2 linked regions of the Oryzias latipes genome follow. The protein of the gene in region 1 purifies or fractionates together with the protein of each later gene. This does not show direct contact. Links are inferred from orthologs where the notes say so. Each region holds a gene or a part of one and is shown on either strand. Other genes may lie near its edges.

Region 1 (3,654 bases):
GAAGCTGCTGATGATGGTGCAACCTCGGGGTGGAGCCATAGGGATCGGCGGGGAAAGCGTGACCTCTGTGCATGGGTGGGTGACCTGGACCTTGGATGCCTGGCTCGGCTCCTTGGTGGGAGCCTGTGCCATGTGGACTACGAGGTCCAGACATGTGGTGAGGCTCCCCAAGAGACTGCTGGTGGGGGAAGGACGGATGCGAGGAGTGGGAGGCAGACAGCATGCTGCTGAGGGTGGAGGACTGGGCGCGTGACAAGGAGCCAACAGAGGTGACGGAGGAGGTGGGACTGTGGTGGTGAAGCGACCTCTGGTAGTGAACCGAACCCTCCTTACTGGATCTGAGGAGACATCAAGCTATTAAATGACAAATTGATTGAAACTAACTGTTTATTTCTATGTTACCTCAAATTGGAAAAAAGCGTAAAATTAAATTTGACTCTTTAAATGTCTTTTTTATTTTTAAAACATGGAAATTTTGGGAATTTAAGGGGGGGCGTTGTTTTCATCATTTGTTCATGAATTTGGGCCATAAAAGTAAAAAACGTCTTTGTTTTTAAGTGCCAGGTCAGAACCCAGGCGTTTTGGAACATCAGGATGAAACGGCACGAATGACACTGCCCTTAATCCCCACAGGAATGTCATCAATATGAACGCCTCGTGTCCCGGCTTGTCCTGTCCCGATGATTAAAATTGTGAGGAATTTGTAGCTGTTACACTCTGAGGGAAATAGCAATAACTAACATAAAACCAGCTCGACTGGATCTCGGTGTTTCCAAAAACCCTGTTGAGAAATCCCGCCGGAGGTTTGCCAGCCTGATCTCATTTTCAATGTTCTTTTTTTTTTTGTTTTTGGGCCTTTAAAGACCAACTCTGATGAAAATTGTGTTGTTTTTTTAACATTCTTCTTGACGATAACAACATTTTTCTGTATATGGAGGACATATATAAATAAAATTAAGCTTAAAATTGAGTTTCTAAGTATTTCTTCATTCAAATTGTTTTGAATCAGGAGCAGACAAAAAAATGACGTTTGAAAAGATCGTATTTGTTACATAGAACACAAACAAGCTCCCTGCTCTGCTCCATTCTGATTCTAGATCCATGTAGGTTCATGTACGTCCTAGCTAACATCGAGCTCCAATACTGCTCACCATTTTTGTTGCACTTATAATGTTAGTTGGGGCTGTGAGGGGCTGTAAGCTAGCAGGAGACAGAGAAAAGTTTTTTTTTTATTTGGGCAAAAAACTGAAAAATTTTAAAATCTAGCAAAAGATTATCAGAGTGGATCTTTAAATTAATTAACTGGAATGTATTTACTGGTGTTTCTCACACAGCTGACCTCAGTGAAGTTGGGCCACATGAAGCAGAACCTAGCTGGAGTTCTGATGCGTGTTACGTAAAGTGGGGCTCAAAATTGCACGTTTGCATTTCTCACCTGAATGAGCCATACTCCGGTGGGGGCTGGTATCGAACGTTTGGTACCTCCCGGGAGTGCTCCCTCCCTCTTTGCTCTGTGTAAAAATGGCCCACAGGTTCTTGCTGCTTGGACGGGGAACCGAAGGCTTTAAAGGGGTAGTCTGGAGGCGGGCCCCGGTGCTGTGGCTTGTAGTAATCCCCCGGTTGCCCTGGAGGGGGGCAGTGGGGTGATAGTGGGGTGCTATTCACCGGGGGGTGAGCCTTCACACCACTGGTGGCCAAGGAGAGTTGCATGAGTCGTTCGCTGAGAGAGCGAACGTGTCCTTGTTTCAGATCCTTCAGCGCGTCATCCTGGTGCACCTTTCCAGCGCCGTTGATTCGCTGCAACGTGGGGCGACCCTCGGAGGTGCGCACCTTTGCGCTGGTCACCCCAGTGACGTAGAAGGCAGCTCCCACAGAGGAGGGCAGCGGGGGCTGCTGGGGTTGACTAGTGTGCTGCTGAGGCTGAGGAGGAGGAGGACCATGACCTCGGAAGTACTGAGACTGCACTTTAGCCTCTTCGTATGTGGGGAGATCTTCAGGGTTCTGGCACTGTCCCTGGCTGCTGCCGCCACCTCCACAAGTCCCCACACACCCCCCACTGCTCCCACCACCTCCTCCTGCTCTAGTGGAGCCCAGTTTCTCCAGGCCGTTGTCTGTCTGTAGCTCCTGCCCTTGCGGTTCCTGTCGCGCGATGTGGGACGCCATGGAATGGTCGTCAGAGGGGCTCACCTGTCCCTGTACAGAATAACCCCCACCGCTTCCACTACCACCTCCACCTCCTGCCCCTCCACCTCCTCCCCCAGACTGTTGCTGCTGCTGTTGCAGCACATAGTTGCGGTTCATCTGCTCCTGCAGGAGGCGTTGCAGGACCGTGCTGCCGCCACTTCCGACGCTGTTGCTGCTGTTTGAAGACTCGTCAGCGGCGGCCCTCATCTCTCGCTCCCGCTGGCCACCAACCTCATGGAAAGACAAGCTCCGCCCTCTGTCAATAATCCCTAAGCGGGGAAAGAGAAAGTGCAATAAAGAATGAGGAAATGGAGGGGAAACGGTTAACGGTTTGGTACAAACAAAGAGGCAAAAGCGCGGAGATTCAAGGAGAAACAAACGCAGAAAAGAAAAGCTTAAAGATGCAGACGGACCGTCCATAGCCACCGATTCCCCTACCACAAAAAACATAACATGGATGAAGAACACTTTCTGAAAAAGCACAGAATACCAACATCAGAAAAATCCTGCACCATCAAACCCAGGTGACAAACACCACAAAACATCAAGAGTTTCCTTCAAATCGATGACCGTAACTCATAGCAACAACCACAGATCAGAGATGAAACAGCTAAAGGATGAAAGGCAAAAAATCTTTAAAATCCTTAAATGACAGCAAAAATATCAAACTAATTTTAATCTCAGCATAAAATAATATAACCCAATAACAGTAATTTCATTTTCTCTTAATTTAACTGCTTACTATTTCCTGATATAGCTTGAAACCAGAATTCTATTGAAAATATGACAAACATCTGCGAAAACAGACTCCTTAGAACTAACTAAAATTCTCACCCCACATGTTATTTTAAATTGTCTGTGAACGCCTCGCCAATTTTTTTACAAACTCAAGAGCCTTTATTTGTTGATCGAAAAGGAAGCAAGTTGATCAACAAAATAAAAGCACACATTTTATTTTTTCATAATTAATGGCAGATTTTTTTTTAAATAAGATGCCGTTTTTGCAGTGGATCACTATTTTAAACACAAGGATATCACAAATAACAATTTCCATGAAAATGTAGACATAAAAAAGCATCTTAAAGCCATTTTCACACATGACCTGAAGCCCTGTTTTCCTTTGATAGAGATGCTTTGCAGGAGAGGTTCACAAGCAGCTTTTTTTTTTATTTCTCAGAAAAGATAACACTGTTCTCTGGTGTTCTCAACAAAATACTGCAGGCCAGTCGGTGGACGTTTTTGGCAGAAACTATATAAGAATGTGAATTTTTCTGGGAATAACCCCTAATTTTACAATTATTAGATGATCTGTTTAAAACAGTGATAGCTGGAATACATGTGGAGGATGCAAGCATAAATCCTTTTGGGATTTCTCCAAACAGCATTTCTGTCTGTCTATTCTGTGTCATGTTACTCCAGTGGATCAACAGACAGCCAACTTAAAGACCCACTCCAATGAAAATTGTGTTT
Region 2 (3,654 bases), on another chromosome or scaffold:
AGACACACAAATCCCTTATAGCCCTGCATGGCAAAAAACAAAACAAATTCCTAAGGTAAAAATGCCAACATTTGTTAAAAATTGTCACAATAAGATCTCATGAGGACTATTTTACCCAATGGAATAAAGGGGGATTTCACCCTTTTTACTTTCACTAAGAAAATGCGCATCAGGTCATCGACGTAGCAGTAAACTGAGCTAGAAATGATCAAATAAATAATTTGGCATTAGCATTGGGAGATAATAAAAAACGTAACAAGTAAAACCTCATTGGGTCAGTAGTTTGAAGCTCCAACTTTACAAACCTGGTGGGATGGACAGTTAGCACATCTTTTAAGTACTAGAAATTTCCTTTTAAAATTGGTCACATGACCTGGACTCTTGGGAATCCAAATCCTCAAGGTTTACCCACAGATTCTAATAACAGCAGCAAAAATAAAAAAAGCCTTTACGCAAAAACAGGCGGCCTTAGGTTGATAGACTTACACTAAACCAATCACAGTTTGCCTGATTTTCTATCGTGTTTATCATTTAAATGAAGTGAAAAGAATCCTGACTCACAAACCATTCAAATCAACCAGAGAAGAGGGTTAACTAGAATATCAGCATGTGAGGAATTCAATTTACTGCATGTGTCTTTAAACGTGTATTTTGAACCCTCACCTGAATTTTTATCGCCCACGTAGCCGGCAATGGTGATCCCCAGTCCCTGTGCGTTCTTGGTGAGGCACACGTTGAAGCTTTCGGCCTCCTCTTCCTCGTCAGCCTAAGGCGGGATCATTAAATCAACAACAGTATTGACATTTAAACCAAAACCCATAGTAAATGTAATGTGCCGAATAGCCTTGTTGATGTGGGTTTTAGCCTTGGTCAGTGAGCACTCTGAACCTGAGAAGGTGTGCATTTGGAGGTGTAGGATAATGGCTTCTGTGAGTCACTGACATTCAGCCACAGAGATGATTGTACAAGAATAAAACGCTCTTGAAACCTTCAGTTGTTCTGATTCATATTTATAAAGCTATTTCCTGTAGCACGATAAAAAAACCACAACAATGAAATCTATATGTACCACACATGCACCAGATTGGTTTATTTTCAAAATGATGTCATGCATAAGGCCCTATAAGAGGCATCAAGCAAGACAAAAGTCACAGATGAATCTGTCAGTCAGAGTTTATTAACTATGTTCACAGTAACGCTAGAATTTGCTTGTAATACGCTAAACTACGACCCATTAGAAGCGTTAGGCCCTTTAGCATATTCACAATCAATACCTTTAACTCCCAATCTTGTTTGCGACCCGTAAAAATTACAGTCCAACACCACACCGCTACATGGTAGCTGAGTTAGCCTATTCAAAGAAACACCAAATGGACCCTTAGGGGGGTTGACCCATTATGTGCGGGGGGGGGGGGGGGGGGGGGGGATTCCGTAGAGGGTCACAAAGAGGTGCTGGTGCATCTTAAGGACTTAAGGGGAGCACAGGTGTGTCTTACAGTTCCCTGGAGGCTTGTGTTGCCAACTCAATAGACGTCACGAAAATGATATGTACCATTGTCGTGTGTGTTGTAAGTGTGTTGTGAAGTATTTGTAAGGGTAATGTCGTACAGGTGATGTTGTCGTACGGTACCCTTTGCGCAGGATTTCACCCTTCAGTAAGGTACGTGCACTGGCTCCATACTGACTGCATGCAAATGCTGTACACATGTAGTGTGCAGGTGATCCGCAAGTACACATAGGATCCCCGTAAGATACCATCACAAACAATGCCCTGATTTCCTAATTTGGTCATTTTTATTTGGTCAAGGGACGCGCCGGAGGCACACAAGGAGAGCACACTTTTTACGTGAACAGTACTAACATGCTCCTTGCACAGGGTTGGGGGGTGGGGGGGGGGGTTGTAGAACCTGCCTGTGTCTCACCTACTTCCCTGTCACTTACCCTTGAGTGTTGTTTAAGTTTTTGATACTACCTACAGCCCAAAGCATACGTGTAGAACATGTAGAAACGTGTACAAAACAATGTGCATGAACATTTTTCACCGAGCGTTCTACGGGTTTGATAGTTCCTGCGGGCCACCTACGGGTACAGGTTTGACCACTATAGTGCGGAATATGAAATAGTACATAAATTGCATTGAATATTAGTCCTTTTTTTGGTTAAACTCGACTTTGTTTTGTTTTGGTACCTGTTGTTCACTGACGGTAGGAAGCACTACTGACATGACCGCAGATGGCGTTTCCTCCACCGGAGCCCTGGTCACAACCAGCTTAACTCTGTTGCCACACTGCCGAAGGACCTGCGCCACCTGCTCGCTTCCCATCCCGTGGAGGTCGGTGTCCCCAATTCTTAGGATGTGGTCTCCACTGCGCAACCGTCCGTCCTTTCAACACACAATCAACATTAGCCTGGTTCAAAAATCATGACCAAATTTAGTGTTGGGTTTATTGTCATAGTGCCACTTCTGGAGAGGTCACATGGACAAGAAACACTTTTTAGTTTTATTAGACCCTTTAACATCAGAGCTTTATATACTTTTGACTACTGTAACTCTTCAACCGTTTCAGCAATTAACATATTTCCAGCGGATTCTGAAGCAGAGGAAAAACTGCTTTGCGCTGGTATGCAACACTTCACAGGAGTGAGAGCTTACGCATTTAACATAACTCCAACGTGAGATTTCGTTAATTGCATCAATGGTCAAAGAGCTGCACTAGTTCAAAGAGTGTGTTATTTAGGTGTCGCCGGCAATATCTCCTGTGTTGAAGGGTTAACTTCTAAATTTAGGTTGGTCACCTGGTCAGCTATGCCTCCAGGAAGAATAGTTTTGACGATGACCCCTGTAGTCTTTCCTCCAACAATACCGAACCCAAGACCGGTGCCATCGTTCACCAGCTCAATTGTCTCCACATGTTGCCACTAGAACAAAAGCACAAAAACCCATATTTACCTTGACCCCTTTGTTTGATTACTGTACTTAATTTTACCGACCGGCCCAAAATGTTTGTTAACGTACCGCGCTGGAGTTGGCTGACAGAGTACTGGCGGCAGACGGCGTGCGGGACACGATGGGACTTGTCAGCTGGGGTATTGGGCCCCGAGCCACTGTCAGATGCACTCTCTCGGACGCACTCTGCAGGAGACCGATGGCTTGCTGGTGGCTCACTGTCTGATCGAGGGGCTGACCATTGATGGCCAAGATCTGGTCGGCCTCCTTCAGCTTTCCATCGCTGATGGAACCACAGGCGGTGAAGAGAAAAAGGGTTTTGCAATTCCTTTATTTAGGTATTTTTTGAGGCTGAAGAAAAAACTTTAGCCTGCAGTTTGTCCCTTTAAATTGGACTTTTGTATTTCATAGCAACAAATTTGTATTACGGTAGTTTGGGATTAAATGGCATTTTTGAATGAAAAAACAAAATTTCGATTTGTGCTTAAAACTGGTCCAGTTTTGATGTTAAGTCAACATACAAGAAAGTTCTGCGGCGCATTTTGGATTCCAACGTGCATTTAAATTTTCGCCTGTGGTGCGATGTCTTCAGAGTTCTATCTAAACTTTGGTGATAACTCTGCATCACGTCAACCAATCAGGAGCCCAGCTTTAGTGGTAACGTGCTTATTCTGTTATCAGCAACTGAAAATCAACTTCCGGAGAAG

What was found. Proteins that work in one complex are often made in the same cells at the same time.
Region 2: the proteins of angiomotin (region 1) and mpdz purify together in Homo sapiens (affinity purification with mass spectrometry; 4 studies listed by BioGRID and IntAct, with this or other methods). This does not show direct contact. The link is inferred for Oryzias latipes from reciprocal best matches to the Homo sapiens genes AMOT and MPDZ.

Annotation. Positions count from the first base shown.
Region 1 is NC_019872.2:12,821,507-12,825,160, forward strand, and holds part of angiomotin, read right to left. Parts: intron 2,454-3,654; coding exon 1,436-2,453; intron 339-1,435; coding exon 1-338.
Region 2 is NC_019876.2:9,319,375-9,323,028, reverse strand, and holds part of mpdz (multiple PDZ domain protein), read right to left. Parts: intron 3,231-3,654; coding exon 3,017-3,230; intron 2,920-3,016; coding exon 2,797-2,919; intron 2,384-2,796; coding exon 2,189-2,383; intron 767-2,188; coding exon 664-766; intron 1-663. UniProt on the Homo sapiens protein: Member of the NMDAR signaling complex that may play a role in control of AMPAR potentiation and synaptic plasticity in excitatory synapses. Promotes clustering of HT2RC at the cell surface.